Coturnix japonica: one gene and its partner. The protein of the gene in region 1 binds, or shares a complex with, the protein of each later gene. Links are inferred from orthologs where the notes say so. Each region holds a gene or a part of one and is shown in the gene's direction. Other genes may lie near its edges. The genes, in order: PAXIP1 and histone H2A.

Region 1 (15,616 bases):
AGTAGTTGTTTATATACTTTAAAAACTGAATGACAACAAAAAGATCACAAAACTAATCTTTGTTTTCTAGATATTACAATCACTTTCAGCACCTACAAAAAGTTTAGAACAGCAAGTAAATCATAGTCAACAGGGACATCCAAACGCGGTGCTGTTTAGTCAAGTGAAACTAACACCAGAGACACATTTATTGCAGCAGACACATCAAGCACAGCAGCAACAGCACCATCCTCTTTTACATCTTCAACCTCAGCAACTTATGCAGTTGCAGCAGCAGCAGCAACCCCAGATATCCCAGCAGTCTTTCCAGCAGCAACAGACTCATCAATTTTCGCAACAGCAACAAGTTCATCAGCAGCACCAGTTTGCACAGCAGCAGCTTCAGTTTCCTCAGCAGCAGTTACATGCTCAACAGCAGCTCCACCGTCCTCAGCAGCAGCTTCAGTTCCAACAGCAGCATGCTTTGCAACAGCAACTTCATCAGTTGCAGCAGCAGCAGCTACAGCAGCAACAGTTGCAGCAGCTCCAGCAACAGAACCTCCAGCAACAGCAGCTACAGCATCAGCAGCAACAAATTCAGCAGCAACAGTTACAACAGCAGCACTTACAGAGATTACACCAACAGCATCAGCAACAGCAAATGCAGAATCAGGCAACGCAGCACTTAACTCAGACATCTCAAGCACTACAGCATCAAGCTGTAGCCCAGCAGCAGCAGCACCATCAGCAGCAGCAGACACAACTGCAGCAGCAGCCACTCTTTGGACATGATCCGTCAGTAGAGAGTTAGTAACATTACCTTCTGGTTCTGGAAAGAAATGGTTAATGGCATGATGGTATTTGGGTTAGAATATTGAAACAACAACTAAAAACAGCTCTGTGTTTGCAATATGGCAATGTAATACTTAAACTCTGTTCATGGCTCAGGACCTGTTTTAATAATTGTCATGCTGACATTTAAATTATAACAATGTCCAGAAACCTGAAAAGCATGAGAGTCCTGAAAACTTCTTATTTTCAAATCTATGCAATGAAGTATAGAAGTATCTGTGGCATGAAGTATATAAATTATGCTGTGAGAGCAACATTGGCCTGTGCATATTGTAATGTCCTTCAGTTGAAAGAGGGGAATGGAGAAGCTTTCAAAGAGGGTAACAACTGGAAAGGTAGCTTAAATTTTGGAAATGCTGGCTCCAAACTAATGGGGAGTCAGCATCATATAAAAAATTGTTACATCTGGCTTTGAATTCTGTTCATGCCAATGGAACTGAAAGCTCTTTAATTGTTTTGATCATAGATGATCTGTATATTCCTCTCAGCATTCATTTTTGCATCCTGCTTTTTCTACAAGACTTTACTTCAGAGTTGAATTCAGTTTCTAACTTGGTAATAGTGAAGATTAATGTAGTGAATGTGTTCTGAGATGAACTCTGCAGACTTCTAAGTATTTAATTGTCTCTTCTTTTATGTGCCAAACTATTCCAGTTCCAGAAGATTATTTCCTGCTGGGTTGTGTCTTTGCAATTGCTGATTACCCAGAACAGATGTCTGATAAACAGCTGTTAGCAACCTGGAAACGGGTAAGATTCTACTGTATTTCCAAAGAACTGTCATAACCTTGCTCTCATAGTAACTGAATCCTTAAAGGAATAACTGGAAATATTTTGGCTCTGTGCACTTTTATTTAGATATCATTTTGTTTAATGTTTATGTTCTAACTTAAATGAATATCATTCTACTACAGCAGACCAAAAAAAGTAATAAATGCTTTACATGTGGAGTTTGACTGAATTGGGTTTTTACTCACAGCGTTAGCTAATTTAGAGCATTAACTGTTTCCCAGCTGTTTATGCTTTTAATTAGACAACTGTAGTGCAGTTAATGTAATATAGTGCAAATGTAATATAGTATTGCACTCTGACTTAATTGAATAATTTTTTTTGCATATAATTTTGGCACTTAGTAGGCTATGAGGTATCCACCTGGGTGAATAAGATAAAGGAATAGTGTTTCTATTTTTTGCCAACTTCTATTTTTCAGAAAAATCTGATTGTATCCTTTCCTAAATGAGAGGACTTTGATGTTCTTCAGAAACTTCTGATGGATTTTATAATTGAATTTTCCCAACAATTTTGCATAATCAAGTAAGCTGTTGACGTTTTTAACAGCACTTGTGTTTATTGCTGAGATAGAATTGAATAGTTCGTGAAAAAATTGCTTAATAGTTATATTGCAAAAATAAAAAATGAGATTATTTTTGTTTACATATATATTTTTTTCATCTTATAAAGTTAAACTTTTTAAAGTTCATTGAAAAGGTACATATTTAATTTTGTTTTTTCCTTTTTTTTTTCCCCCCTGGAAGCTCTGAAACTAGATAACAAGCCTTTTGGGGGGAGGAGGGATAACTCTTCAGTGAAATATTTCAATCTCCTAAACACTAGACCTCATTTCAGACTGTTTGTTTCTTAGCATAACTTTAAAACTGTTTGGTAACTTCTTGTTTTGTTGTTTCCCCAGATCATTCAAACGCATGGTGGGACTGTGGACCCTACGCTTACAAGCAGATGTACACATCTTCTGTGTGAAAGTCAAGTCAGTAACATGTATGCTCAGGTAAGCAAATTAGTAACCTGTATTACTAAGTCATTGCTAGGTGTGGGTTGCAAGGGACTTTAAATATCATCAGATTCCAGCCCTTGTGCTGTGGGCAGGGTTGCCACCCACTAGATCAGGCTGCCCAGAATCCTATCTAACCTGGCCCTGAATGCCTCTGGGGATGGAGCATCCACAGCCTCTCTGGACAGCCTGAAATGCCTGCTTTTATTCCCTTAATGAAAAGGTGGGGCGTTTTCAGTATGTACTTAATGCTTTAAGTGTAAAATAAAAGTCTCCCTTGCCATGATACACTCTTTTATTTAATTCCACGCCCCCCCTCCCACCTCTCTAAATCATTTCTTATTTGTAACATGACAGGCTTTAATAATGTGTGTGGTAGTTTATTTCAGATAGCACTAAGTAAGGTTCTGTGAGAAACAGGGTCATGAAAATGCTCAGAAAAACAGTCACTGAAATAGAAGATTTATATTGTAGAAAAAGTCTGAAATGAAATGAAGATGTATTTCAACTTTTGTTTATGCATATCTTCATAGGCACTTAGAGAAAGGAAGAGGTGTATTACTGCACACTGGCTGAACTCAATCTTGAAGAAGAAGAAGATGGTGCCACCTCATCGAGCCCTTCATTTTCCAGTGGCGTTTCCACCAGGAGGAAAGCCATGCTCTCAGCATGTAAGAAGGAAAAGCTTACCTCTAAAGAATGCTCGCTTCATTACACGAGCTTTATTAAATTGTAGCTAGAAAGTGCTTAGTCAAAGCAAAATGCACGTTTCTTTTGTCGTATCAGTAAAAACTTATCATAATCTTAGTCTTATGTTGATAGGGGGTATACTACCATATGATCCAGAGTGCTCTGCACATCTTGCTGAACTCTGAGAGCTAAATATTTAACACCGATGTTTGAGGCTTCTCTTAGAAGGAGGAAAGGTACAAAGGTAATGTGAGTTATTCATAGCGACATGACAGGAATCCAAACCTCTTACGTCTTCAGAGACAGTGCATCTAACATTTTATGCTGCTTTTAAAACAAAATTGGCAATTTCTTAAGTATAAAGAAAGAATGGCAAAAAATGAAAACTTGATACGACTAAGTGTAAGGAAAGTGGGTAAAAAGTTATATTTGGTTATTATCTAATGATAACAAAGGTAAGAAGCCTGTAATTTATATGTATAAACAGATTGGTTTTTAATTGTATGTTATGTATGCAACAAGCCATATTTAAGTGCCTGCATACCATAGTTAAGATGTATGTTTCATTAATACGTTTAAAAAGTTATTAAAATAGAAATACTTTCAACAGGGATGTTTCATAAGTACCTTCTACTTTCATTTATTTCTGTCTTTCTGTCTGTATGTAGATAATCTCTGTGACAGGATTTGTTGATAGTGACAGAGATGACCTCAAACTGATGGCGTACCTAGCAGGTGCCAAATACACAGGCTATCTATGTCGCAGCAACACAGTTCTCATCTGTAAAGAGTAAGTGGTTTATCTCCAAAGTGCTCACATCCTCAGTTGCTTCTTACCACTTAATGTGTTTCTAATTGTGAAGTACTGATCACATCTAAGAATGTTTAATTATTTTCGTGATTGGAAAGCATTAAACTTATTGATGGTGCTTCTTGAAGATAATTGCTGTGTGCTTCTATTTTAAATTTGGCTTAAAAACTGGCAAAAGGAAAGTCATTTCTTGTGTGCTGTTTTCGATTATTTTGCAAGTGATCTTAACTGTTGTCAGTAAGTAAATTACGTTGGGGTTGGGAGGGGAGGGTGGAATAATTGTTTTTAAGTGCTGGAGGAGGGAAAACTGTGTTTGGGAGGCAGAAGTTCTCTGCTAATTGATATTGCTTGTTTTAACATGTAGAGCAAAAGTATTTTTGCCTGCTTTATTATTAAAATAGATAACTGGCCAACAAAGAAATACTGATATTTAAGTCTATAAGTATAAATGCTATGTATCTGTTTTATTAAAACCTTTTTTCTTCATCTCTGAATGATAAGACCCAGTGGCTTGAAGTATGAGAAAGCCAAAGAATGGAGAATACCATGTGTAAATGCACAGTGGCTTTGTGACATACTGCTGGGAAATTTTGAAGCTTTACGGCAGATACAGCACAGTCGATATACAGTGTTCAGTCTTCAAGATCCACTTTCTCCTAGTCAACATCTAGTTCTAAACCTGCTGGGTAAGTGTCCCAGAATTCTATGATCTGTAGCATTTGTTTATATAAACCTGTTTAATCAAGAGAAGCATCTTTATCCTTACCATAAATAATTGTGCACTTCTGTGGTGTTCTTCGTTTTGTAGATGCTTGGAGAGTCCCATTAAAGGTATCACCAGAACTTCTAATGGTATGTTTAGTTATACAGCTGTTTGTGTTAGATTGCTGCATAGTGTTTTTCACATCTGAGCACGTGTGCATTTAGTGTGAGGAGACCTGCCTGAAGAACCCACACAAACTGTCTTGGTGGCACTTGCTTTTAGTTGTCTGTTAGCATAAATCTTAAAAATAATCTTTTGTGGAACTAAGAAACTGCAGCGTATTATACAAAATTACTTTGGAAATATCGTGGCCTAGTTCTTAACTCTTTGCTTTTACATAAGACCTTTAGAAGAGGCTTTGTATTTTGGAGTCAATATCTAACACAATAACATTTTATATTACACAAAAATGCTTCGATCTAGCCTTTTGCATACCTCAGTCCATCTGTATACTTTCCTAAAGACAGGTGCTTAATAATTGTAATAACTTAATTAGTACCCAGATCCAATTTAAAGTATTAGTATAATTTGTTGACTTACTACATTTCAGCTTTAAAAGTAGCCACTATTTCTGTGTCTCTTACTGTGACTTTAGCTTCAAAACAGTCTTACACTTGCAGTCCCCTGTGAATTGGTATTATAGTCCATTAGGAATCTTAATTTTCTTTTAAGGAGTTTGTGTGTTTAATGCCTTCTCTAGCATGTCTTTATCATTTCTGTGTTTGAAGTATGATCTCAGAATGCTGCTGTACAGTTCTCCTGTTTCAGAATAGAAGTTGGGCTCCCTGCTCAGTTCAGGTGTAAACATACAGATGGTCTTTTTTCAGGGTGTGAGGTTGCCTTTGAAACCAAAGCAAAATGAATCCAGTCTTCAGCCATCTTCCAAAAGAGCCAGGTAAGAACAATCAGTGCCGATAGTCCCTCACTACTGTACCTTGTAACTGTGAACTGCTCAGCATTCTGGTTCCATGCCATGCCCTGCTAATTGAAATAACTAGTAGCATTTTTTTTTTTGCATATTGCCAGCTATTCAACAGGCTGAAATAGAATAGTAACTAAAGAGCAGAATAGGAAGAGAACTGGGAGAGAGCAGAATCAGGAGAAAATGCTCTGTTCTCAGCATAACAATTTTTTTTTATCTAGAAGATTGATCCTGCCTGATTCTCATTCATCTTTGTATTTTCATTCCTAAAATTTGCAGGAGTGTGCTTGTCTGTTTTTAAAGTAAGACAGTGTTTCACTCGGACTTACATTGTGCTGTATTTCATGCGTTTTGTAGGATTGAAGACCTACCACCGCCTACTAAAAAGCTTACACCAGAGTTGACGCCAATGGTGCTCTTCACAGGATTTGAACCTATGCAAGTTCAACAGTACATTAAGGTGACTTTTGCATTTACCTCTTGTAAACTATGTGGAAGCACTTGTGTTCTTGTTTTCTAAGACTTGATTAGCCTGCTTTTTTTTGAATAAAAACTGATACTGCAAGTGAAATCAGAATGTAGATTTATGTGAAATCAGTTTTGTTTGATAATTTTCCTGCTTTAGTTTACTTCATGCTTTTCTGCTACCTTCTTCTTCACTATGGTTGTTTTAAAAGACGAGGCCCTTTCATGTTTTGTGATGTTTTGTTGTTGTTTTTCTGTTGTTTGTTTTAATCAGCAAACTTCACAACCAAACTTTGGTGAGGAAGGTAGTGATTACTGTACTAGATAGGACCCAGACTACTTCTCATATAATCTCACATGCTTCAGAGGAAGCTGATAGGAGAACTAATGGCACACTTGAGATCATATGTTCCAAAGTTTTGTTCAGATCTTTCTTAAATAGCTCCCAAAACTGAATGATGTAAAAATCCAATCATTCCTTGAACTTTAACAATCACTAAGTATTAGTTCAAAAATAGTTTTTCATTTGTGATTTGTCACACGTTGGCTGAAATTTGAGACACAGAGGTGGTGATTTGTTTTTTTTTTTTAACTGCTGACCCCAGTAGGGCGTGAAACATCTTGTTGCTTTCACCTGCTCCAGATAAGCCAAAGCAAATGAAGACTAGTTTGATTCTCTGTTTCTTAGAAGTACATGTCACTTAAGCATACCCCAAATAACCTATTTTCTTCTTGAAAAATACTTTAGGTATGATCATGTAGTTGGAATTTTGAGTTTTTTTTCCATTATGGTATTTTTATTTGAAGCTTGATAGAACTTTGAAACATAAATAATTTTTCAGTTTATCTAGCTCAAGTTCCATTGTCTTCTCCCCATTCTGTCATGCTGATACCAAGTTGACTGTATGAAGAATGTTCATTAGAGCTATGGCTCACAAATACATCAAATAAATTTTTGGCCTCAAGGCTTGTAATGTTGAAACCAAATGTTGCAGGGATAATACCATTAAAAGTGTCAGTGTTTGAATACCTTCCTGAGGCAAGATACCTCCCATCTTCTTGAACTGGAGATTGTCTTTTTTTTCCTATACGCCCAAACGGATCCTTGAAATCAGAATGCAAATCTTGTAAGGTACTCACAGGTATACAGTGTTTGAGGTGAATATATATTATGGATGAAAACAACAGCTTGTACATTTCAGTGTGTACAACTTTAGTATTCACAGTGTGTTTTTGCATATCTCAGAGGAGTTTAGCAGTAGAGAGATGCAGTGTATTGGATAATACTTTTTTGTATCATCTTGATGTAAGCTGTCAAAACAAGCCAGCACAGTAAGGAAAAGCTTAAAACATTGTCCCTGTCTAACTTGTTTGTTACTATCAGAGCAGTACAGAGGGATGCCAGACATATTTCAGGGCTTCTAATGCATGCAGTGAGCCTTCTTGCTTTGTTAACATCTGATGTCTGATGTAATAAAATCACCCTCTTATGTTCAATTTTAATGCTTAAAAATCATGTGCATCTTAGCTGAGATGTCAACTCTGATGAGGTAGTTTGGGTTTGGTAATTCAGACTTAGTAAAAAAAGTGGTAGTTATTCAGTATCATCTAAAATATATAAGAAACAGATGCATGTAAAATATATGTGGCTTTCATGCAAGGAAATTTTGTCCTCTATGAATAAGAGTAGCAAAGTTAGGTTTACCAAAACTGCAGTGAATGTCATACATTTTGTAGAGGAAAAGAGCAAAATCATTACATTTTCAGCCCATAAAAACCCCCACAAAATTAACTTGTATCTGTTGATTATTTATCTTGTATAAAAAGTAAAGCAGTACCACATAGCTCTCATTTTAGATAGATGTAATTAATATCTGAGAATAGCTGGATCTTCCATAGCTGTAAATTCTGTTCATTAATCACCCTTAGTAAATGAATTCCTACAATACAGAAACCTCTTACATTTTCTGTTTCATGAAGAACTTAGTTTTGTTTGATGGCAACGTTATGATTCCATATTCTGTTCTTTCCAATTGGTAACAACTGTTCCATTCTGATTTGTATTTCTTTTACAACTTTCAGAAACTGTATATTCTTGGGGGTGAAGTAGCAGAATCTGCCCAGAAATGCACCCACCTAATTGCCAGTAAAGTGACCCGCACTGTCAAGTTCCTGACTGCAATATCTGTAGTCAAGCACATCGTAACTCCAGACTGGTTAGAAGAGTGTTTCAAATGCCAGAAGTTTGTTGGTAAGCTAAGCTGCGATCAGTTCGTATTATAAACCTAAGGTTGTTTGATTTTAGTGTGTGAAGATGGCCTTCATGCTTTAAAAACCCTTTCTTTGTGAGATTTTGAGTTTTAATGTCTCTTGAAGATTCTCTGTAGGTTTCCATTTTGAATGCTGAGGTTTTTAAGTTTATAGCAAGTCTGACCATCGTAGTTCAGAACTCACAGAGGATTACGTGCTAAGTTTAAATCTGTTAGACTAGTAAATTGTTTGTATTTCGATTAAGGTAGAAGGTTATGTTGGTATGATTAAAGCTGTCACAGGACTGACATCTGTAAATAACAAAACAGTTTATTTGAAAAGGATGCTGGATCTGAAGATTTAAAAGGCTGGTTATTTGCTTTATTATTGTTTAATGCTTTTCATGTAATTTGGTTGGAAGGAGCAAGCATGTAACATTGCTACCTCGATCACAAAGATTTAAATCTGTGAATAACTAACCAGTAAATTAGCAAACATTTGTATTAATCTGAAGACAGCAACTTTCTGGATTCAGTGTCAGAGAACTGAGAAATCAGTCCATTTGAAAGCTATTAGAGGATAAATAAGGTCTGGGGATTTAAAAGGATGACTGTTTTGATGTAGTACTTGTTTACTGAAATGTAGTTCATTTGTGGGTTGCCTTTACTTCTGTACATAACATAATGATGGAGAATGTGGCAAAGAATTGCAGGTTGTCAAAGCTGTCCCTGGGAAGACCAGTTTTTTCTTAATATTCAATTGTTTTTGCTCTTTGAACTCGATTGTGTTGAATTAAATCTGATTTTGAAATACGCTTAACATGGCTTTGTAGAGTGGTGAAGGTAAGATTGAAATACCATCCCAAACTTAAGAAAGACAATTAAAAACAATCAGCTGAATAACAGGATAAAGAGGGGAAGTAGATGGAAAGGTTTTTCTTTTAGGGCTGTATGAGAGCTTGAAGACAGTTTTTGGGCAAGTGGAGGAGTCTGTGTAACAGTGTATGTTGCTAGATAAGGAAGTGTGGAGCTGTTTTATTCTCCAAATAATTGTGTGTCATCCTAATAAAGGGGTACTATAATCACATTAAAATTACTGTTTTAGCATTTAGAGTCACTCAGCCACTAATGTTTTCTCATTGGGTTAGATTTTAAGTTATGATGGTGTTGCAGTCTTTCCTGTATTTGTTACTCTTTCAGACGAGCAGAACTTCGTGCTGAGGGATGCTGAAGCTGAGGTGCTTTTCTGCTTCAGTTTGGAGGAGTCCCTGAAGAGAGCACAAGTAGCTCCGCTGTTCAAGGTAGGCAGTTTTGAGAACAACATTTAAAACACTTGGAGCTTTTCAAAGAGACAAACTACCTAAAAAGTGTATTTTTACAACCTGTACCGAGTAAGCATTATTAAATCTGAATAGTACATTTCAATCAGTTTTTCAGTCCTAGCTGATAAACAAACTTGATCTACTTGGTGATCTGTTCATCTGTATCAGACCCAATCAAGTTGCTGGATGATTTTTACCGGGAAGTAATATATGTAATTAATGTATAGTTATATTTATTTAAAAAACGAAAGCTTTAATTAAAAGTTACTCAGGTTTTAGGAACCCCCTGGGCATGCTTGTACTTGACGAAGCAAGCAGTGTTGTTCTAAACAAATTGCAGTTATTTGGGTTTTTTCCTTCAAGAAGTGGTAATATAAGGTTTTCTGGTTGTTATTTGGAAGGTGTTGGAAGAGGAATATTTAAGCTATTAAAATTTAAAAAAAATTACAGGTTTGCCCCTCTAGGGAAAGCAAATGAGCAGTAATTAAAGACAACTCATTAGCTGTTGGATTTGTTGCTTTAGGCCACTGTAAGCTGTTTACGGGCAGCCAATGATTGCATTAAAGTTCATCCATAAAGAAGCACGAATATATTGCAAACATAAGTTAACAAAATAACATTTCTTGTTGCTCCTTTTTTTCTCTTTGTAGGGAAAGTATTTTTACATTACACCTGGAATTTGTCCCAGTCTTTCTACCATGAAAGCTATTGTGGAATGCGCAGGAGGAAAAGTGTTATCTAAACAACCTTCGTTTCGAAAACTCATGGAGCATAAACAGAATAAAGTGTGTACAGTGTTGCCTTCTAAAATTTACTGGTAATATCTTATCATGTTGTTCTGAGCTTACAATTGCTTTCTTTCCTTTAGAGTTTGCCGGAGATAATCTTGATTTCCTGTGAAAATGACCTTCACCTGTGTAGAGAATATTTTGCTAGAGGCATAGGTATGTATAAACGTATCATTGTGATTTGAACAATAAAGATGTAAAATAATAACAGTAAAAATTAATGCAAGTACAGATACCTGTTGAAGATGTCAGATGGTAGTAGAGGGGTATGTGGTCAGTCCCACAGGTCATGGAGAAGTCTGAGCCAGCTGATTCCTAGGTATTTCTAATATGCATATTTTCTAGCCAGGTCACCACAAATCTCTGCTAGAGTAATATTGAACGTGGGGTTGCAGTCCTGTGTGATGCATGATTGTCAAGTTAAAGATTGGAGGTTTTCAGTTTAGAGCTTAAAGACATGCCATGTTTATCAGTAAACCATACGTTCTGAAGGTAGTATCTGTAGTATAAAGTGTGTGGCTAAAAGTAGGGTGCTGGTAGTGATGGGGCCATATTCCCTTTTGCCTTTGCATGAAGAGCAGAAAGGTACTGAATGGCTCCTCCTGATGAGCCTGCGGAAGAAGCGTCTTTGTAAGAGTTTAACTGTATGCATGTTTCTGATATTTCCAGATGTCCACAATGCTGAATTTGTCCTGACTGGAGTACTTACTCAAACACTGGATTATGAATCATATCCTTTTTTGTGTGCGGGCTATCAGCTGCCTAAGGAAAACAAAAGTTTTTCTTAATTAGGGACTAACTAAGTTCTAAGTTTTTATAGGCTGTGCAGTGTTTACTTGATAAGAGCACAGCTTAACACCCGGAAACCTAGTTTAAACTCCAACTGGGGTTACTTTTTAATAGAAAATACCTTAGTGGAGATGGGGTGCAGGGTTCTCAGAAAGCATCAATAGTAGAATATTAAGCAACCATGGAAAATAAGTGTCAGTAAGGAAAGTATCTGCATGGGTAATTTGTAGTTGACAATTAGGTTTTAGTAAGGAAGATTATAATCTTTGTTTGATAAGTGCATTATAGGACCAGGTAAAGGGTACTGTATCTTTATGGGTGTGTTTTATACTTGTCAAAGTTCTGTTTTACAGTCATTTCTTAAAAGTTGTTCTTTCTTAACACACGTACATATAAATTTACTTGAAGGAATAGTAAACTGCCTTAGTGCTTCGGAGCCCATGGAGCATTAAATCTAACTATTCAGCCATTGTACAAAGTAACTAAAACTTCCTGTGGATGCTGTTTTCCAGCTGTTTGCCTAGGGATGAAGAGCAGTTTAAAGCAGGGAAGCAAAAATAAACTGCATCATTTTTAGGATGTGTAATTTTATTATGAGGAAACATAATTTACTATGTTTTGTATTATACTCCCGTTTTAAAAGATCCCCCTTTAGGTATCACAGTTAGCCAGTTTTTAAACATTTTAACGTTAATGATGGTACTTCAGCCAAAAGTGTAATTTGGGTGTAAAAATAAAAGGGCTTGCTGTCTATTAAATTATGGATGTTGAAGATGAAAATGTTTTGTACTTTATTTTTATTTCTTATACTCTATTTTCTTTTATATTGATATTTTGCCCACATTTTAAATAAATGTACTTTTAAATGTTTTACTCTATATTTTAGTGGTGGTTCATTTTTTTGAATACTGTGCAACAGTGGCACTCTGGTAAGAGTAAATTACTCAAATCTTTTTCCAAGCAATGTAAACTTATTTTGAACTTATTTTTATCAGGTATGTTTTAATATATAAAAAACCCAATGCTTTAAAGGGGAAATTGTTAAAAATTTATAGATGAGTTTTTACTGAAAAAGAAAAGCTTGAAGGAAGGAGAAACTATAACCCCACATAGTGTGCTGTTGTGATAAGCTTTGTTTGTATAGTGAGTTTTACTAAATAAATATTAAAAATGTATATTCAGTTGTTCTTCCTGACTCACACACAGTTCTAAATAAATCTGATGTTTTTTAGTTCTGATTCTGGTAGAAGGAAATTGTCCTAAAAACATTTATTTGATCAGCAAGCCCATTAAACTCTAGTGGGATAGTGCAGATATTCACTTGTCTGCATAGTGCTGGGTGTGTCATAGCAGCTTGTGAGCCATTCTAAGAACAATCCAAGACTTAGGAGATAAAGCTTACTTAAAACAATTGCTTATCACGCTGTTTCTTCTAACACTTTGTATTTCTATGCAGAACTGTAATACAGGGAAGGTTTTTCACTGTTGCCTTAAAGGGAGGTAAGCAGCTATTTTTAGCTTCTGCAAAGCTGACTGCAGAGAAGTTATTAATTTCAAATCTCGTTTGTGCTATGGCTTAGAATTTAAATCCACCTGATATTTGACCACTATTTCTGTTGCCTTTTTTTCCCCCTATGCCTCAGTTCAACAAGATGCTTAAGCAAATGACAAATTCAAGCTGTAAGAACACAGAGTAAATTTCAAGATGAGTGAAGTCCCATAGAGGTCAGTACTGTGCTTCTTGCCTGTTAGTGCTGGCTCTGGGTTCCTCAGCTACTGTGATTTATCCTTGTATTCACCATTTGTTTTCTAAGTAGTAAGGAGTTACATGGTGATAAGAGCAATTTCTGCCAGCCTGACCTTTGGTTAGGCTGACAAAATTCAGCCACCTCCTCTCTGGGCTGAACAAAATAAGTGACTTCAGAGACTAAAAGTATGATATGGGATGGGAGAAAATAGCACTTTTCCCCAAATGCCATTTATTGCTTAGAAGCAATAGTAAAAAATAATAATAGTAAAAGGAGTTATTTTTTGGTTAATGGGTTTTCTTAATGGCTTTAAGTTGTTCAGGCAGACAGACCTACCTGGTATGTCCTCCCTTCCCTGTCAGTGGAGGGGGAGCATAGCTCTAAAACCTGATGTAAAGACCTGTGAAAAGAGCACATCTCTTAATGGAGAAAATGGTATGTTGTTTTTTTTTTTTTAATTCAGATACGTTTCTGAATGTGAAATAGTGAACCAAAGCAAATCTGTGCTACTCTCTGTATGGCTTAAGGCTTTATTCATTATACTAGTTACCAGCATGCAGAACGTTTCTTGGTGCCTTTTCCTTTAGAAAACAGCTGTTGTAGCTTTTGAACTTTTAAAAATGCTGTGATACGCAAACGCTTCTTACCTCAAATAAATACTTCCTACTTATCAAGGATTCAGTATATCTTGTGTATATCTTGCAGATGATGGATTGCCTTACGAAGTGTAGGGCCTTATTTCAAACAGCGGCACGTGTAGAGTAGGTGTCACCATTTAACCGTGCATGGAATCAAACACAAGACAGGATTTCATACCACCAAGGTCTGGAAGATAGCAAGACCTACTAAGGCAGCCCTTGGAGAAGGAAGCTTTTTATGGAGGGGAGGAGAGGTAGAAAGAAACCAGATTTGAATGTGTTAGAGGTTTCTGTCTTGGCTGTTAGACTCAGTTATTCCTTTAGCTCCTGGTAATGGTTCTCACCTTTGTTAGGATTAGCCTCCACATTTTCCATAACCAAGCAGTGCTGAGGGTACATAACACCTTTGCCAAAGACTATTCTAGTTAAGAGATGTGTGAATGCAATAGCATCTGAAAGGTAAATTTCCTTTGTATGAGAACTATCCAAAATGCTGTCAGATACTGCATTGCTTGAAGAAAAGCAAATGCAATCATGGAACAAATGAACCCTGTGGGAAACATGAGTGGTAACGCATCTGTTTCATCATCAGTGGAGACAGTGTGTTTATTTAGCCAACATACAAGTATGACTGATTTGATTAACCTTTCAATTAGAGTAGAAAACAGAACCTGCCAAGAAATAGTCTTTCAAGAACCACAGGAGCTGTCCAGAGCCAACTGGCTTGCACAGATGTTACTGTGTGTGTGTGATTAGTGGTAGGGAAAGGGTTTGATGAAGTTTTCTGATACTGGATTGCTGTTATGAGCCTGCTTTGCTTTAGTGGAAGGTCATGGTACTTTAGTGTCCTATTTGATCCAGATTCTTGTATTTCTCAGGGGAAAATAAGAAAAAAAGCTTTGACTTTGTTAATCAGTTTTCTAAAGAAACATTACATTCACATATAAATTTTGTGGTAGAAATCCTGTCCTGGTGTTTTAGTTATTTGGAGAAAAATAAATTTGAAATGTCATTATGATAGCAGAGATATTCCACAGTAAAAGACTTAGCAGATGTTAGGAAGACTTGTTTCCACTCATAACCTTGCAACTTTTATTGCCATTAGTTGTAAAGAAGAACTGTAGAACAGAGTAGTGAAATTGTGGTTGGGAGCCACCTCTGCAGTCAGGGTTCCAGTACCTCAAAGGATGGAGATTCCATGATTTCTGTGGGCACCCTATTTCTATGTTTTGCCACCATCCATTTGATAAACAGTTGTCTGTATTGGCCTTAAGGTTGATCCCTGGGAAGGATGCTCATTGCTGGCTGCTGCTTCCTATTGCTCCATTGCAGCACTTTGAGTCCAGTGGTCCAACGAGTTTTCCACTTACTTTATCTGCCTACTTCTCACACTTTGTCTATGCTGATAGTATGGGAGACAGTATTGTGCTCATTTGGTGTCTGTGCAGATTCAGTTGAGTAAAAGGGTTCTGGGTACCTTGTCCTTCTTTGTGTCTTTCATCTCTAAGTCCTTTGCCATGTTGAGCTGCACACTTTCTTTTTCCTTTCCCTTTTACCACTGATATTTTTACAGAAGCACTTCATGCCACCTATCACATCTCTTGATAGTTTCAACCCAGGATGAGCTGCTCTTGAATAAAATATTAGTTGGCGCAGCTCAAGATGTGTAAAACATCTGAGTGGAGCAGATGAGCATCAAGATGGATGTGTTTAGCAAGGTTGTGGAACTTTAATCTTTATGCAGCCACACTATTAAAAATGCATCAAATATCTTCTAAGAGCAATTTAGTTAGTTATCCTACCTCAAGGCAG
Region 2 (14,923 bases), on another chromosome or scaffold:
ATGCCACAGAGTATACAAGTTCATTTAATAAGTTCACTTATTAACAAGTTCATTTAATATTTTCTTCCCCTCAAATTGCCTTTCCAAAGCTCTGAAATGTGCGTCTTGTTTTGGAGGCCTCAAGAAGAAGCAGCATGGTGAGGAGAATGTAAGTTAATGTCCCATGCTGGGCTGCATAAGCTTCCAGAGCAAGTTAATAAAATTAAATTTAAAAAAAATAAATAAAATTATGTCTAGAAATCTAAACGCTCCTGCCCCTGCACTCCACACAATCAGCACTTCCGCCCATCCAGTTAAAACACACACCATACAAGGAAGCAGGAAATACACATGCAAGCTGGGGCTGATTGCTACTATTTGCAGCCCTGCACACGAACACACAGCACCCAGCATTACAGACACCACGTCCACACTGTCTTCATCAGTTACTTCAGAGTGGTGAGGACACAAAGGGGTCACACGTAGTCTGCCTTTACTGCAGCTGCCCGGAGGATGGCAGACACTTACAGAAGAAGCTCTTCATTCCACTCCATCTCTGCAGCAGTGCCTGCACTATCAGCTCTCACTGGCCTTGTCCGTTTCTGCTGAGGGGGACTGTCTAGCTCTGCAACACAGCATATCTCCCCAACTCCTGCAACAGAGAAAGAGAGCACATATGCACCTGTAAAATCAAGGCAGAGCTCAGACATGCATATTTCCATTTCAAGACAAACACCCACTTGCTCTAACCTTGCTACCCCCACACTTGCCCTGCTTCAGCTTAGCAGTATTTTCACATTTACCTCCATTCCTCTGTGAGCATAAGTTCAGCACACGTAGATTCCGGAGCAACAGCTTTGGACCCAGAGGGGCTTCTACTGCACTGCATGGAGACTCTTGGGTCACCTTACTGCTGGATACCTGAGGAATCATGAGAGGAAGACTGATGACTTACCATTTGCTTTTCAGCAGATAGCAGTAAGACGCACAACATTTGTGCTTGCATCTCACAAATGGTCCTCACAGGAATATCCACAATGCCACCTAGAGGTAGTACAGATTCCACAAACTGTCAACCTTTAGTGGGCCCCTGTGTCATTTCAGACATGAAATTTAGGGTAGACCGGAAAAGAGACAGATAGGAATGAGCCTTCTGACTACTAGAAGGGGGAACCAAAGGCAACACGCCAAGGGCCTCTCCCACCAATTCCCTCCACTCCCTGCGCCACAATACCCCAGTTATTGTCAAGGATGCGACTGCTGTCTAGAAATGAGCCTCAGCCCTTGAATTCCTGCATCTAAGCCCCCCAAAGCACTTCAGGGTACAGTTTACAAGGCACAAGAATGTTACAGGAAGAGAACCTTACTGCGCCAGTTGCTGCTGTGCAAGCCTTCAGATTCACCATCATGGCTGGCTGTGTGCTGACAATAGTATCCTCAATTAGATCCTTTATGGTAGACAGATCCGCTTTCCCTTCGTTCTTCACTCCACAAATCCAAAGGAAATGCAGGAATGTCATAACGAGGCAGACAGTTTTTCTCTGTATACAGCTCCAACTGCCTCTCAAGCCTCTATGATGCTAAGCAGCCCTTCTCCCACAAATAGCCTCCCACATTCTCCTGTCCTCTACACCTCCTCCCCAGTGCTTAATCGTTGCTGTAATAGTTACCAGCAAAAACAGGCTATATAAGCAAGTTAAATTGACCATTTACATCTGTAGTCTCCCTGCTGCAGTTTGACAATAAAGCCTTTGAGGTTTGCCACATCCTTGCCACCTCATGTAATGATACTACCATACTTTCCTAAAAGACAAATTCCTACATCCGCTAAGAATAAGGCAACAATTTCAATAAAACTAACACCAAATTAAAAACAAAACAAAAACTGAGTTGCAAGCACATCCGTGTTTGGCTCATCGAGCCACAAGTACTCCTGTGTTCTGAACACTTTACAAGTCCAAAAGGTAAAATAAAATACTCCAACTCATTTTGCAGCTCCACAATTGGCAACAGTGGTAGAACCTACATAGACAGAAAGCATGTTTTGCTACGTAGGTTCTATTCAGAGTTCAGATGTTATGCAAAACTCAGAAAGCTAGTGTCAGAACTGCTTCAGCTCTCTTTAACGCGTTCCTTTAGCATAGACGAGCTAGTATTGGTTCCAGAGTGAAATAATCCCCTCCTTCGCTCAAAAAGGGCCACAGTAACAAGCTGCTAACCTCTGCCCTCTGCAGCAGCCTTCTTCATGGCTGGACACCATTTCTGTCCCTCCCCCTCTTCCCTTGCTTGAGTCTAGCCTCCCTGTTTGCTTACCTCATAAGGCTGAAGTCTTGGAAGAACTGTTAGATCCAAGTCTGGTCTGTCCTTGAATGTCCACGACACCAGGAGTCCCTGATTCTGTATCTCCTCCAAGTGGATCTCCACCTGTCCCAGAACAAAGACGCAGTCAGAAACACTCTGTTTTCATTTGGCGTTTCTTGCCCTACTTCACCTTCAGCAACTGAAAGGGCCTACCCATTACTGGTAAACTTAGACAGAAAATTTGATTAAAGTTTTCGAGAACAAAGACATTCCAGAACAACTTTCCGACTGCAATATCTGCAGTAGCGTGGGACTGGCCTCATCCTGTGGAATTGCTCTTAATTCTACTTGAGAGAAGAATGAAATTCTGGAGAAGCAAATCCAACCTGAAAGCAACTGTGGAGTCACCAGCCATTGCAATTTCAGATTCTTTTTCTGAACAAGCAAACCAACCAACTTTTTACAACTATTACCTCAGCCTGCAGCAGAGCCAAAGTGACATGATACGTGTCCACAGAAACAGCAACTGCAGACTGCTGGGTTACAGAGACAGGGAATTTCACAGCTTCAGCTGACAGATGACAACACAGCACCTACAGAGAAAAGGAAATCAATAATTTTTTATCCTTGCTGAGACACAGATTGGAGATGGAAAAATCTGTAAAAGCAACAAGCAAGGTTAACCTACTGAGGCAAGACAGAAACATCAAGCTGCCAGCCCCAGTTCTGCTCTCTAAGTATGCCATTTAAAACTCCATACGTGAGCCAACAAGGAACTATCAGTGACAAAGGAGATCTCTTCCCTGCAACACAGTGCCCTGATACTCAGGCTCAGCATCCTTACGTTAGGCTTTATCAGATGGATCTCATCCACTGCTCTCACAGAGCTCACCAATGTATAGTCCAAGCTGCAATCTCTGAATCAAACTATGGACCCAGCCCACGACTTTCCCCCGGGTTTACCACTTCCACGACATGGACATCAACAATCCCCATACAAGACTGACTGCAGAGAAACCCCACATGACACAATTCAGAATAACAAAGCCTTACCATGCTGTGGCCCGACTGGCCCTTGCACGTCACACCACTTATATTTGCTGCTGGTGGCAACTGAGGACCCTCTTCAAATGTGATCTGGACTGAACTCTACAAAGAGAACTCTGTTAGCTCCCAGCGGACAGGGTATCTCAGGCAGATTTAGAGAGGATGGGCAAGTCTAACATGGGACCCCAGAGACGTTCTAGTCCAATTCCATGAATCCAACCAGCACACAAACACGACCACACTGCAATTCTGGCTTGTCCAGAGTAAAGAAACCCTATCTCTGGTTCAGGCTCACAAACACGCAGCACACCGAGCGCTTGCTCCGGACAGTTCAGTGCAGACTATACAGCCCCTGACAAGCGCTTGGCGAGGTCTCTGCCTTCCTCAAAGCCCGCAAAGGGGGGACGGCGCCGACCGAATCCGACGCAATCCCCCTCGGCTGCACAACGCCCCCGGCCCCGCCCGGCCCTCAGTTCACCGGCCCCCGCCGCACCCCGCCGTACCCCGTGCCGGCGCGCCTGGCCGTTGAGGGCTCGCACCCAGGCCCGCTGCCACTGCTCCCGCAGGGACCGGAGAGAGAGCAGCGCGGCGAGCAGCGCCCGGGCCCCGGCCTCCTCCGTCACCGGCACCCGCCGCCGCGACGATCGCAGAGCCGCCGACCGCCAGTACTGGAGCAGCCAGGCCGCGACGGTGAGCAGCGAAGCGGCGAAGAGCAGCACCAGCACGGCCCAGCCCGGATCCGGCCCCATGTTGCTGCGCGTTGCCCTCACGGCAGCCCGGGAGGCATGGCGGGCGGCCGCTGCCCGGCCCAGCGGTTACAGCCTCCTGTCCGGTCACACGGAGCGCAGGGCCGCCCCGGGCCCGATGCCGCGGTGCACGTGGCCCGAGCCCGGCCCGGCGGCGCCGCGCGCCGGCAACGCGCAGCGGCACCGCGACCCGCGGCACGAAGGAGGGCGGCCGCCCCGGTTCTTCCGGTGCCGGAGCGACGCCTCCCCGCGGCCTTGGCGGGACGGCGCTGTGCCGCTGCGCTCCGCTTCCGTTCGGGTCTGCGGGTCTGCAGCCACCAGCATTTATGTCCAGACAGCCTCGGCGCTGTCCGGAGCGAGGCAGAGAGTAGAGTGAGGCGGAGAGTGCGGCAGGGAGTGAGGCGGAGAGTGCGGCAGGGCTGGGCTGTCGGATGAGCCCGGCCCTCTTCCACCTGTGCTGACACACACACCCGCGCCCCGCTCATCTCCCGGCTGCAGCCCGCTGTCTCACACCTGCACGGTGCCATTTTCCACACAAACACACCTGGGAAGGGTTTTCTGGCTCAGGAAGAGCCAAACTAACGTGTGTTTATTTCTTTATTTCTTTATTTTCTCCCCAACACTTGTTTTTCCCCCCACAGCGCCTCATGAAGGCCCAAACGAACGCGGATTTGTTTCTTTATTTCAGGGTGCGGGGAGGAAGGAGGAAGCGCCGTGTGACGGCGGAACGGGAGGAGCGGCGGCTGCCAGGGCCAAAGATGGCGCCGCCCTCACGGACCGAACGGAAAAGGCGCGCGCGTATCCGGTCCGTTCCGCTCCAGCATCCGGCCGCCCGGACCCGCCCGGAGCCGCTCCGCGCCCGTCGGGGCAGCGCCCAGCGCGGCCATGGCGGCGTGTCCCGCCGCGCCGCTCCTCATCAACGTCGGGGGGTCGCTGCTGGGTTTCGTGGCCACGCTCACGCTGATCCCGGCCTTCAAAGAGCATTTCTTGGCGGCGCGCCTCTTCGGCGAGGACCTGAACAAAGTCTCCCGGCGGCCCATGTGAGTAGCGGTGCCCGCCGGGCCCGGCCCGGCCCGCCACGTCCCGGCTGACCGCTGGCCTCCCCTTCCTTGCAGCCCCGAGGCGCAGGGCATGATCAGCGGGGCCGTGTTCCTCATCATCCTCTTCTGCTTCATCCCCGTGCCCTTCCTGCGGTGCTTCGTAGAGGAGCAGTGCGCGGCCTTTCCTCACGACGAGGTAGGGCTCCCGTGTGCCTGCAGCGCGGCAGCAGGGAATGCCCGTTAGTGACCGGAGCCCCGTTCTCTGTCCCGCAGTTTGTGGAGCTCATTGGCTCGCTCCTTGCCATCTGCTGCATGATCTTCCTGGGCTTTGCAGACGATGTGTTGAACCTGCGCTGGCGTCACAAACTCCTTCTCCCCACCATGGCATCCCTCCCACTGCTCATGGTGTACTTCACCAACTTTGGGAACACAACCATTGTGGTGCCTAAGCCTTTCCGGGCGTTTCTGGGCATGCACTTGGACTTGGGTAAGCGCTGACTGACTGATGGTCGTTAGCAATGAATTAAGGAGCACATCTCAAACTTTAACACTTGTCAGTCTCTATGCTGCAGAAGGAACCTGTGGAAGATTTGTTAATTATTCATTGAGAGGGAACATCACCAACTAAATATCATACTGGCAAGATTAGCCATCCAGAGATCCAGCAAGACGTCCAGCATATATATGCTGGATATATATATATATATATATGCTGGATTTAGCTAGGCATAGATAAGTACCATGACTTTTCCCAGGTTTCTGGCAGTATGAGAGTGCCAAAGGCCCTTGGCCCTCAGATGCCAATAGCAGCATCGCCACGGTTTGCTGCTGTGTTGCACATTTGCTGCAGTCACTGTGCTGTACACGTGTACATACGATAACATGTACAGGAGAAGGAACTGTTTGCTAGTACATTTTGAAATCAGTAGCTTACTGAGACACTATATAATGGATTGTCCTACAAAACAGGAAACTACAATTTCAGTAAATTGGACCACAGCCTGTTTCAAAAATGAATGCTAAAGTACTTGCCTCGTTCTGACCTGCAGGTATCCTCTACTATGTGTACATGGGCATGCTAGCAGTGTTTTGTACTAATGCCATCAACATTCTCGCTGGAATTAATGGGATTGAAGCAGGGCAGTCTCTGGTGATTGCTGCTTCCATTATCGTATTCAACCTTGTAGAGTTAAACGGTAAGGTAATGCTTGGGAGTGCAAAAAGCAAATGGAAATAAAAACCCAGATTTCAGTAGTTGGCGTAGTTAAAAAGAACCTAGTCCTGTCTCATCAGAGCCTCGGGTTTTTTTAATTTTTTTTCCTTTTTCTCCTGTAGGGGATTATCAGGATGATCACATTTTCTCTCTCTACATTATGATTCCGTTTTTTTTTACAACGCTGGGGCTGTTTTACCACAACTGGTAAGAGGATGAACATTCAGCATTCCTTTGGAAGCATATTCTTTTTCCCTTTGCAAACAAAAACATCAACATGTAAGCAATATACTGGGGTATAGACAGGCTTCTTGCTAGAACTAAGAATGCAAAGCAGCAATCCACTGGTATCTTTCATGCACCAACCTTGCCATTAGGAAATGTCTTCAGGTGGTCATGAAGCCAATTATACTGGCAGCACTGATTATGACAGACCTTTTCTCTTTTGCCTTGTGGATTGCAGGTACCCATCCCAAGTGTTTGTTGGGGACACCTTCTGTTACTTTGCTGGCATGACCTTTGCTGTGGTGGGGATCCTGGGCCACTTCAGCAAAACAATGCTCCTTTTTTTCATCCCACAAGTGCTTAACTTCCTCTACTCATTGCCTCAACTCTTCCACATTATTCCTTGTCCCCGCCACCGACTGCCAAGGTAATGTACCTGAGAGATCTATAATGGTACTAGTTTATGCCAGCTGAGAAACAATAATATACGTTGGTTGGTGCTCTTTTTAATATCTAGTTTTTTAATCTAATTTAATATAATCAAAGTAGGTTGGATGGTTAAAAGTTGGCCAGCCACGCTATTTATGGTTGAATCTATCAGCACAAGTTTCTCAAATAAATGTACTAGAAAAGAATACATTTTACATACTGTAATATGTACTAGAAAAGAATACATATACATACTGTTAAGAGTATGATTATTCTCAGCTACAAGACTGAGATAAATGGATACAGGCCGTTCTTACTGCTGTTGCATTAGGATTTGCTAAGATCTTACAGTAGCAAGCATTCTGCATCACTGTGTATTATCACTGATTTTAATTATGTCTAGATATATTCAGTTCTTCTAACCTTGCAGCTTTATGCATGTGTTAGGTAGAAGAGGAGAGGAATCTTTTATTGACTGCCCAGTCTGAGGGACCAAGGTGTGAGCAGCTGCTCCTATACAATATCAGAATATCATTACTTTCTTCACCAGTGTATTTCTTTCTCAGCAACTTGGCTTGAGATATAAATCTATTTACGTAGGGATCACTGTCTCTTTGCTCTTTCCTGACTAAGACTTTATCGTTCCTTTTAGGCTCAATGCTACAACAGGGAAGTTGGAGATGAGCTACTCCAAATTCAAAACTAAGAGCCTCTCAACCCTGGGAACATACATTCTGAAGGTAATAGCAGGAAAACATTCCAAAACTAGGCATGTTTTGAGGCAGGAGCAGCAGGATAGGAGGGAAGGCAGAACTTCTGGGTTCAGTGGTTATTTCCTGGCTCAAATCGAGAAGAACACATTATAATTAGCTCAGTCACTGTCTCTTGCAGTCACTATGTTAACTACATCTTCATAATTACTCTTCTAAAACAACCACTTGCAGCAATTGTCCTAAGACCATCATAAGCCTATCCTGTTTCTTTTGTAAGAGTCCAAGCCAAACTACTGGAATGGTACAACAAAATGGATCTAGCAAGAAGCACCAAACATACCTGATGAAATGGCAAATGGCATGCAATATTTTTTTCCCCAGGTAGTAAAGATCTTGCACATAGTAGATGTGAGGAGTGGAATGGATGAAGATGGTGAATACTCCGAGTGCAATAATATGACGCTTATTAACTTTGTTATAAAGCTGATTGGACCCATCCACGAACGAAATCTCACTCTCCTGTTGCTGCTCATTCAGGTCAGACAAACGTTCCTGGTAGCAAAGAAACATATTCTGTGATAGAAGTAGACCCAGATTTGTCTCAAGAATATCTAGGGGAAAGGGGGATGGGAAGTGTCACACACTTTACGCAAGATGCAATTAAGGTTGTGCAACTTGAGAGTCTGAGGTTTACACGGCTCCAGGAAGAAGCTGTCCTTTCTTTCAGTCCCCAGCTTCCTTAACTACGAGCTATTAAATTTTAAGGCCCTAGATTAGCTTGAGAAACTCCTCAGAGCATGAGTGCCTGGATGCTAGAAGAACAGCTGGAAAAACAGCACTGTGTTCTTGCCTTGTCACTCTAACACAGCACAGCCTTTTATTGCAGTTCTGTGTTTCAGTCATACCAAATAACAGTAGTACCGGTGTTATCTCCAGCTGGTGCCCTTACGTAAGTGTGGCATGCAACTCAGTGGTAGCTGGAGTTTGAGTGTGGTGTGGGAACATTTTGAAGCAACTCAGAATGCAAGAACATACCTTGCAGATAGTGCTGCTACTCCTACTCAATGCGTGAACTCTTACCTGGTAGATGTTTTGTTTCAGAAAAGACGTAGCTTAATTGCCTACAATTCCTTCTTCAGTGTCAGTTCAAAGGTAAGAGTTTCTCCTTAGGAAAAAGCACTTAAATTCCCCTTCCAACAGAAGACTTCCAACAGAGAGAGCGGGGCTCGGGCCAAGTACATCTTTGGCAGAAGGGAATAGGAAGCGCATACAGCTTGGTCTTGAGTCAGGTCACAGTGCTACATAGTGAACAGGCCGTGTATTAAAGCACATCAAATCCATCTGTAAAGGAAGAACCTGCTGACCAGTGAACTGTCTGATGTAAGGTTTCAGATTCAGGTTGGTTATTACTGTGATTTATTTGTCTGTTTTTAATCCTAGGTCCTGGGCAGCATGATTGCATTTTCAGTGCGGTACCAGCTGGTGCGCTTATTTTATGATGTCTGACTGAGCTTCCAGGAGCGGCACCTTCCAGTGAACTGTACTAAAACAATTCAATTCATCTGATATTTTGATCTGAAAACTTGAAGCCACCTTTCAAAACACGAGGAACTGCTCCAGGCCGGCCTAGAATCACAGTTCTCTTCTTATGGACAAAGCGTCTCTGTCCTGTTCTGCTGACAGTCAGCACTGCTTGCATGTCCTTGCTACCGGGAACACCTTTCAGATGGGAAATAAGCAACACGAATCTGTACAGAGTCCTTAGGGAAAGCAGGAGAAATGGAACGTCTAAATGTAAGAAACATGTTGCTGTTCCTTGAGAGAAGAAATAAGAACTGCAGCGTCTGTGAGGCTGTACGGCAGAACAAGTGAGCTGGAATTGCCCTGTTGGCTCATGAATGAGTCCATGGATGCAGAATGACGTGCTGTAATCGTACCTGTACTCAGGGCGTTCTGAGAATAAAAGAACTCGAGGTACATTGCCATCTTCGGTTCTGCCTTGCGGACATTGACGTGCGCTGTGACATGGCCCCGCCCCCTGCCGGCGCTTCGCCCCGCCCCCCGCTCACGTGGCCCCGCCCCCTCACCGTACCCGGCCGTGAGCGCCAACGTCCGCCGCGTGGTACGAATTTGGCGCCTTGTCTTCTGATTGGTCCGTCGCCGCCGCCAATAGGTGGGAGGTGAGCGCCAAGCCAGCCAGTCAGCAAAGAGGTTCAGGCGGCAGAGCTCCAATAGCGAGGCGCTGTGGCGCCGTCCAATCAGCGCGGCCCTGCCTTGAGGGAGGTTATAAAGCGCCGGGGCGGAGGCGCGTTCCCCTTGTCCCGCCGCAGAGCTCCGCAGATCCGCGTTGTGTGTCCGGTCCCTGCGAGGCGCCATGTCTGGCCGCGGTAAGAGTGGCGGTAAGGCCCGAGCGAAGGCCAAGTCCCGTTCCTCCCGGGCCGGGCTGCAGTTCCCCGTCGGGCGCGTCCACCGGCTGCTGCGGCGCGGCCATTACGCGGAGCGGGTCGGCGCCGGCGCCCCGGTGTACCTGGCGGCCGTGCTGGAGTACCTGACGGCCGAGATCCTGGAGCTGGCGGGCAACGCGGCCCGCGACAACAAGAAGACGCGCATCATCCCGCGCCACCTGCAGCTGGCGGTGCGCAACGACGAGGAGCTCAACAAGCTGCTGGGCGGCGTCACCATCGCGCAGGGCGGCGTCCTGCCCAACATCCAGGCCGTGCTGCTGCCCAAGAAGGCGGGAGGCGCCGCCAGCCCGGCCAAGGCCGGCAAGAAGGGCGGCGGGCAGCAGTCGCAGGAATACTAGGCCGCCGGGCCGGGCTCCCCTTCCCCCACCAGCACACAAAGGCCCTTTTCAGGGCCGCTCCATTGCTCACCGGGAGAGCTGCGATCCGAGGGAAGGGACGGCCGGGGGCTGCGGGAACGAGGGGGAGCTGCGATGGGAGCGGGCGGGAGGCACGGCGTGATACTGCAGTGCAGTCACATAATGCAGATACGTGATGCTCTTCCTAAAGACACCTGGTGCTCACAACGTGACTGCTGCATTCAGCAGACATTGCACAGGAAATAAACGATGCTTCAGCTCCAAAACCGGAACCCAACAATGGGTTATTCTGATGTTTCTGTAAGGCACTGCAACATGGCAGTGCAACACGATGGTTCAACCATGAACTAGAGGCAAATTTCTTATGCTTCAGCACAAAGATTGCCAGTTACTGTATATCAATGCCTGTCCTCATTCTACATCTATGTAGTTGCACTGGGAACCTAATGCTGATCTCCTTCAGCATTCCTGAAGATACCAGGGCCAAATATCCACAATTTCACTAGTTTAGCAGAAAACACTTCTGTGCTGTCAGCACAGTGCAGCACTCCAGCACTGCCCCTGTTTAGTCTGACTATAACCTGTATTTGGTGCTTTGTTACTAAATGCAATTGGAGAACAATTGCTACTACATCTCTCCTCGCAACAAAACCCTTTAAACGCGTTTCACAGAGATTTTACAACTCAGGTAAACTTAGAAAAGCAAAACTCCAATTTAGTACTTCAAGTATTTTATGCCCAAATGTCAGACAAGGCTGGTGCAAGTGTTAAAAACGCTTCCTCCAAAAGCTGGTAAGTAGCTGCAAAGACTGGAGCAAGAGCTGCAGCAATCTTGCTGATCTCACAGAGGCTCAGCAGGCGTCATTCAGCTGCCGTGCCACACAAAGGATGTGCTTGGCTCCCTTGCTCAGCAGTAAATCAGCCAGTTCAATGCCAAGGTTCTCTGCAGCTTCCTGGGCCTGAGCAGGGACGTTCTTGGCTGTGATGCCAACATGCTGCACATCATCATTTGGTCCATCTTCATTCTGCAAGTACAAACATCAAAGTAAGGCTGTGGGAAGGAATGGGCAATAATAAATAAATTAAAACAATGCATGAAACCAGATATCTCATAATTGATATAGATGCACAGGGGCTATAAGGGACCTCAGGAGATCAACCAGTCTGACTCCCCTGAACGCAGGCTCCCTGCAGCAGACTGAACGGGAAACCATCCGGGAACGTTTCAAATATCTCCAGCAAAGGAGACTTTCCTTCACCTCTCTGGGCGAACTGTATGTCACCCTCCAAGACATGTTTTTCCTTATGTCTGTATGGAACTTTCGGTGTTCAGTTTGTGCCCACTGTCCCTTCTCCTACCGCTCTGTGCCACCAAAAAAAGCCTGGCCTCAACTGCTTGACTTCCATCCTTTAAGTATTAACAAGCATTGCTAAGATCCCTCCCAGCCTTTCTTCTCCAGGCTGAACAGCCCCAGGTCTCCATGTCTTTCCTCATAACAAATACTCTAGGCCTCCATCACCTCTTTGAATTTGAAGTCCAACATGATTTGCATACCTGTTGTGGATAATTAACGCTGGTCTGCATTGTTTCCTTCAGGCTTTCAGATCCATCCAAACTGTAGACTGCACCTGTCAAATATAACTTTGAAAGACAGAAGAGGTTAATAGCACAAAACCAACCCAGAAGGGAACACTTCTGCAGTCCAGTCCCATCAGATAGAACGGCAGTCTGATACAATGCAAATAACCCCTGCTAGGGAAGACACATCTTCCCAAGAAAGAACCTCAATACTTTCTAGCTTTCTACCTACTTAGTTCATAATCTGCTGTATAAATTCACTGGAGTCAAAAGGAAGAGTCTGAGATCTCAGGAGATTTTAGAAAAAGGGGGGGGTGGAAAAGGAAAATAAGAATCTATCACAATAAGGGTGTTTTCTAGGACTCAGCCTCTCATTCTCAGACCCATTCTCATTCTCCTGCTTTGAACAATATCCCTATCTGCCCTGCTCAGTTGTAAAGACATCTGCTGAACCGAACATCAGAGAACATACACACAGAAAGTTTTCCATAAATAACCCCAGATACACACACAAAGATTCCTCACCTGGCCATCTTTCAGCATGGTGTTCACTGCAACAGGGACACTACAGCCACCCTCCTGCAAACAGAAAGACATTGCTACTGAGTTTCCTCAGCACATACAAAGCAGAGGCCTCAGAAATGTATGTTCTGCACACAGCCCCAGCTATTGCTGTTCAAGCACTTCACAAGTTCTCCCTACTCGGCAGTTTTAATATAAAAGTGTAACAGCCTTCCCACACCACGCCATCAGCTTAACTGCAGCAGAGCAGTATTTGCTGCTGCAAGTAGAAGGGCAAGGATGACACACGTACCAAACGTTTCATGAAAGCCCTCTCAGCAATGCAGCACAAAACAGTCTCTCCATCGTGTAGGGTTGATACCATATTCAGTGTCTCTTGGTCTTTGGCACGAACCTCCACCGCTAAAGCCCCCTGCAAGACAACAGTAACAGCAGAACTCCTCAACTTCAGCATCTGTGTGCACCCAGCACTGGTCACGAAACACAACTCAGAAGTTTGGATGTGTTTCACTGAGGGAGCAGTGTTTAAGTTCAGAGACTTTACAAAAATCATTCAAGAAACAACTAGTTCCAAGATATCCTGAGGCAACTGCTGTAAAGGGAAGCTCAGAACTTAGATGAGTACTGAAGATCAGTCACCTGACATCTATTAGCTCAGCTTCCCTCTTGTGACTACACAGATACAAACACCTGATCTGCTGTCACAACAGCATAAGTTGAATAAAAGTAAGTTCTACAGCCTCGTCCAAAGATAACAGCAACCACAAACCGATTTGTTCCCAAACAGAAAACAAAAGAAAAAAGCTTTGTACACGACAAGGACATGATTAAAACCAACACTATTTCTGGCTCACTTTCCACTTTCATCTGGTGACTACCTTCAGTATTGTCACAGGATAACTCTATAGGTGTCACTGCTCACTGTTTCCAACCTCTAAGTAACACAGCAACAGCTGTTCACCAATCAGGAATTCATCCAGTCTGGGAAATAACTGCATTACATTACAATAATGATTGCACTAAGAAATGCATCGCCAGCTCAGTTTAGCAAAGTTGATACCAATTACGCAACACTGTGTAAATTCAGCCACATGACCAGCACAGGCTGGAACAATCCACCTAGAAACAAGAATGCTAACAACACGCCTCAAGGCAGATGCTTCAGTTCCAGTTGCCAGAGTAAGGACACTGCATGTAAGGGAGTGTCACAGCACCCACACTGCAGTGCCTTTCTACAGTGAGCCCAGCAGAGCACAACACCGGCCTGCCTCGTAATTGCAGAGTTGTCCCAGGGCAGCTGCACCACACATTACCTGTACCACCGACTATTTCTGTGGTTGACAGATATCAAACCTGTTACACACAGGCTCGTGGAGCTGACTTAATGTTCCTCACACACACTGAACATAAGCAGACTAACAGGCTGCAACACAAATCACTGTAATTCTTCTTTGGCAACAAACAGATCAGAGGCATTTGGTTGTCATGTTCACCACGTGACACATCACACTGCAGTCAGGCTTAACATAGAAAAATTGGAACGTACCTGTCCCACAGCATACAGACAGTCCTCAGGGCTCAGGAGCTGGAAGAAAGTAAAAACAAAGTTAAGTCATGTCGCACTATTTAAAACAAAAAGAAAGAAGGCGCAAGTGTGAAAGTCAAGCAGGTGATGGGATTTCCTACTTTGACTCTCACCTGACCAATGCGATTCTCCCAGCCCATCCTCTTCAGCCCTGCAGCAGCCAGGATTATAGCACTGAAGTCTTCCTTCTCATCTAGCTTCTTCAAGCGGGTGTTTAAATTCCCTCTCTGTACAAGTGGTTAAGTAAGTAGAGAAACAGTATGCAAACAGTTGTACAATCACTTCGCATTCACTTAACCGTGCTTAAAACCTCCAGATAAGAATCAGTTGTGGAATCATTCTGAAAGTGCTAAATATGGACAATTGTTTCTTTGAATAGAATTCTGCTGATTATTATGAAATATTGATACAAGTAAGCACTCTCAAAAAATACGTGCCATTTAAGTGCATCATTTGTATCTGACATCAAATATTTTTGCAGATCAAAGAACTGGGTTACTAGGACTGAGGTAATAATGTGTTTTACCAGCACCACTTTAGCGGCACACATCTAAACTAGCAGTCCAAAACACATTAAAGGTATCATGGACCAATCAGCATTTGGCTGCCACTTTGACAAACACAAACTGACCTCCACTAAGCAGCCTTTAGAACATTCCTGAACATGAAACGCATCAGCACCTTGAATCGCAGATAGATTAAAGCTGGGCTGTTTCTTTGTAG

Evidence for each region.
Region 2: the proteins of PAXIP1 (region 1) and histone H2A are in contact, whole or in part, in a crystal structure (PDB 3SQD), measured with the Homo sapiens proteins. The link is inferred for Coturnix japonica from reciprocal best matches to the Homo sapiens genes PAXIP1 and H2AX. Residues at the interface, in NP_031375.3 of Homo sapiens: Phe871, Thr872, Gly873, Phe874, Pro876, Lys907, Thr909, Arg910, Thr911, Val912, Lys913, Pro986, Glu1050, Leu1053; in NP_002096.1 of Homo sapiens: Gln138, Ser140, Gln141, Glu142, Tyr143.

The regions. Positions count from the first base shown.
Region 1 is NC_029517.1:6,803,253-6,818,868, reverse strand, and holds the end of PAXIP1 (PAX-interacting protein 1), read left to right. Parts: intron 1-70; coding exon 71-785; intron 786-1,485; coding exon 1,486-1,580; intron 1,581-2,520; coding exon 2,521-2,616; intron 2,617-3,152; coding exon 3,153-3,290; intron 3,291-3,977; coding exon 3,978-4,099; intron 4,100-4,621; coding exon 4,622-4,806; intron 4,807-4,928; coding exon 4,929-4,972; intron 4,973-5,710; coding exon 5,711-5,778; intron 5,779-6,162; coding exon 6,163-6,265; intron 6,266-8,352; coding exon 8,353-8,521; intron 8,522-9,719; coding exon 9,720-9,820; intron 9,821-10,491; coding exon 10,492-10,626; intron 10,627-10,709; coding exon 10,710-10,785; intron 10,786-11,298; coding exon 11,299-11,359; intron 11,360-11,808; coding exon 11,809-11,824; 3' UTR 11,825-13,819; downstream 13,820-15,616.
Region 2 is NC_029539.1:15,962-30,884, forward strand, and holds histone H2A, read left to right. Parts: upstream 1-9,785; 5' UTR 9,786-10,067; coding exon 10,068-10,496; 3' UTR 10,497-10,791; downstream 10,792-14,923. Other genes in the region: phospholipid transfer protein C2CD2L, read right to left, coding at 508-631, 783-900, 1,347-1,460, 2,293-2,403, 2,754-2,873, 3,334-3,429, 3,831-4,076; DPAGT1 (UDP-N-acetylglucosamine--dolichyl-phosphate N-acetylglucosaminephosphotransferase), read left to right, coding at 4,721-5,113, 5,387-5,600, 6,163-6,309, 6,449-6,533, 6,790-6,978, 7,633-7,720, 8,075-8,230, 9,134-9,199; HMBS (porphobilinogen deaminase), read right to left, coding at 11,366-11,539, 12,070-12,156, 12,619-12,672, 12,908-13,027, 14,162-14,200, 14,314-14,427. UniProt on the Homo sapiens protein: Variant histone H2A which replaces conventional H2A in a subset of nucleosomes. Nucleosomes wrap and compact DNA into chromatin, limiting DNA accessibility to the cellular machineries which require DNA as a template.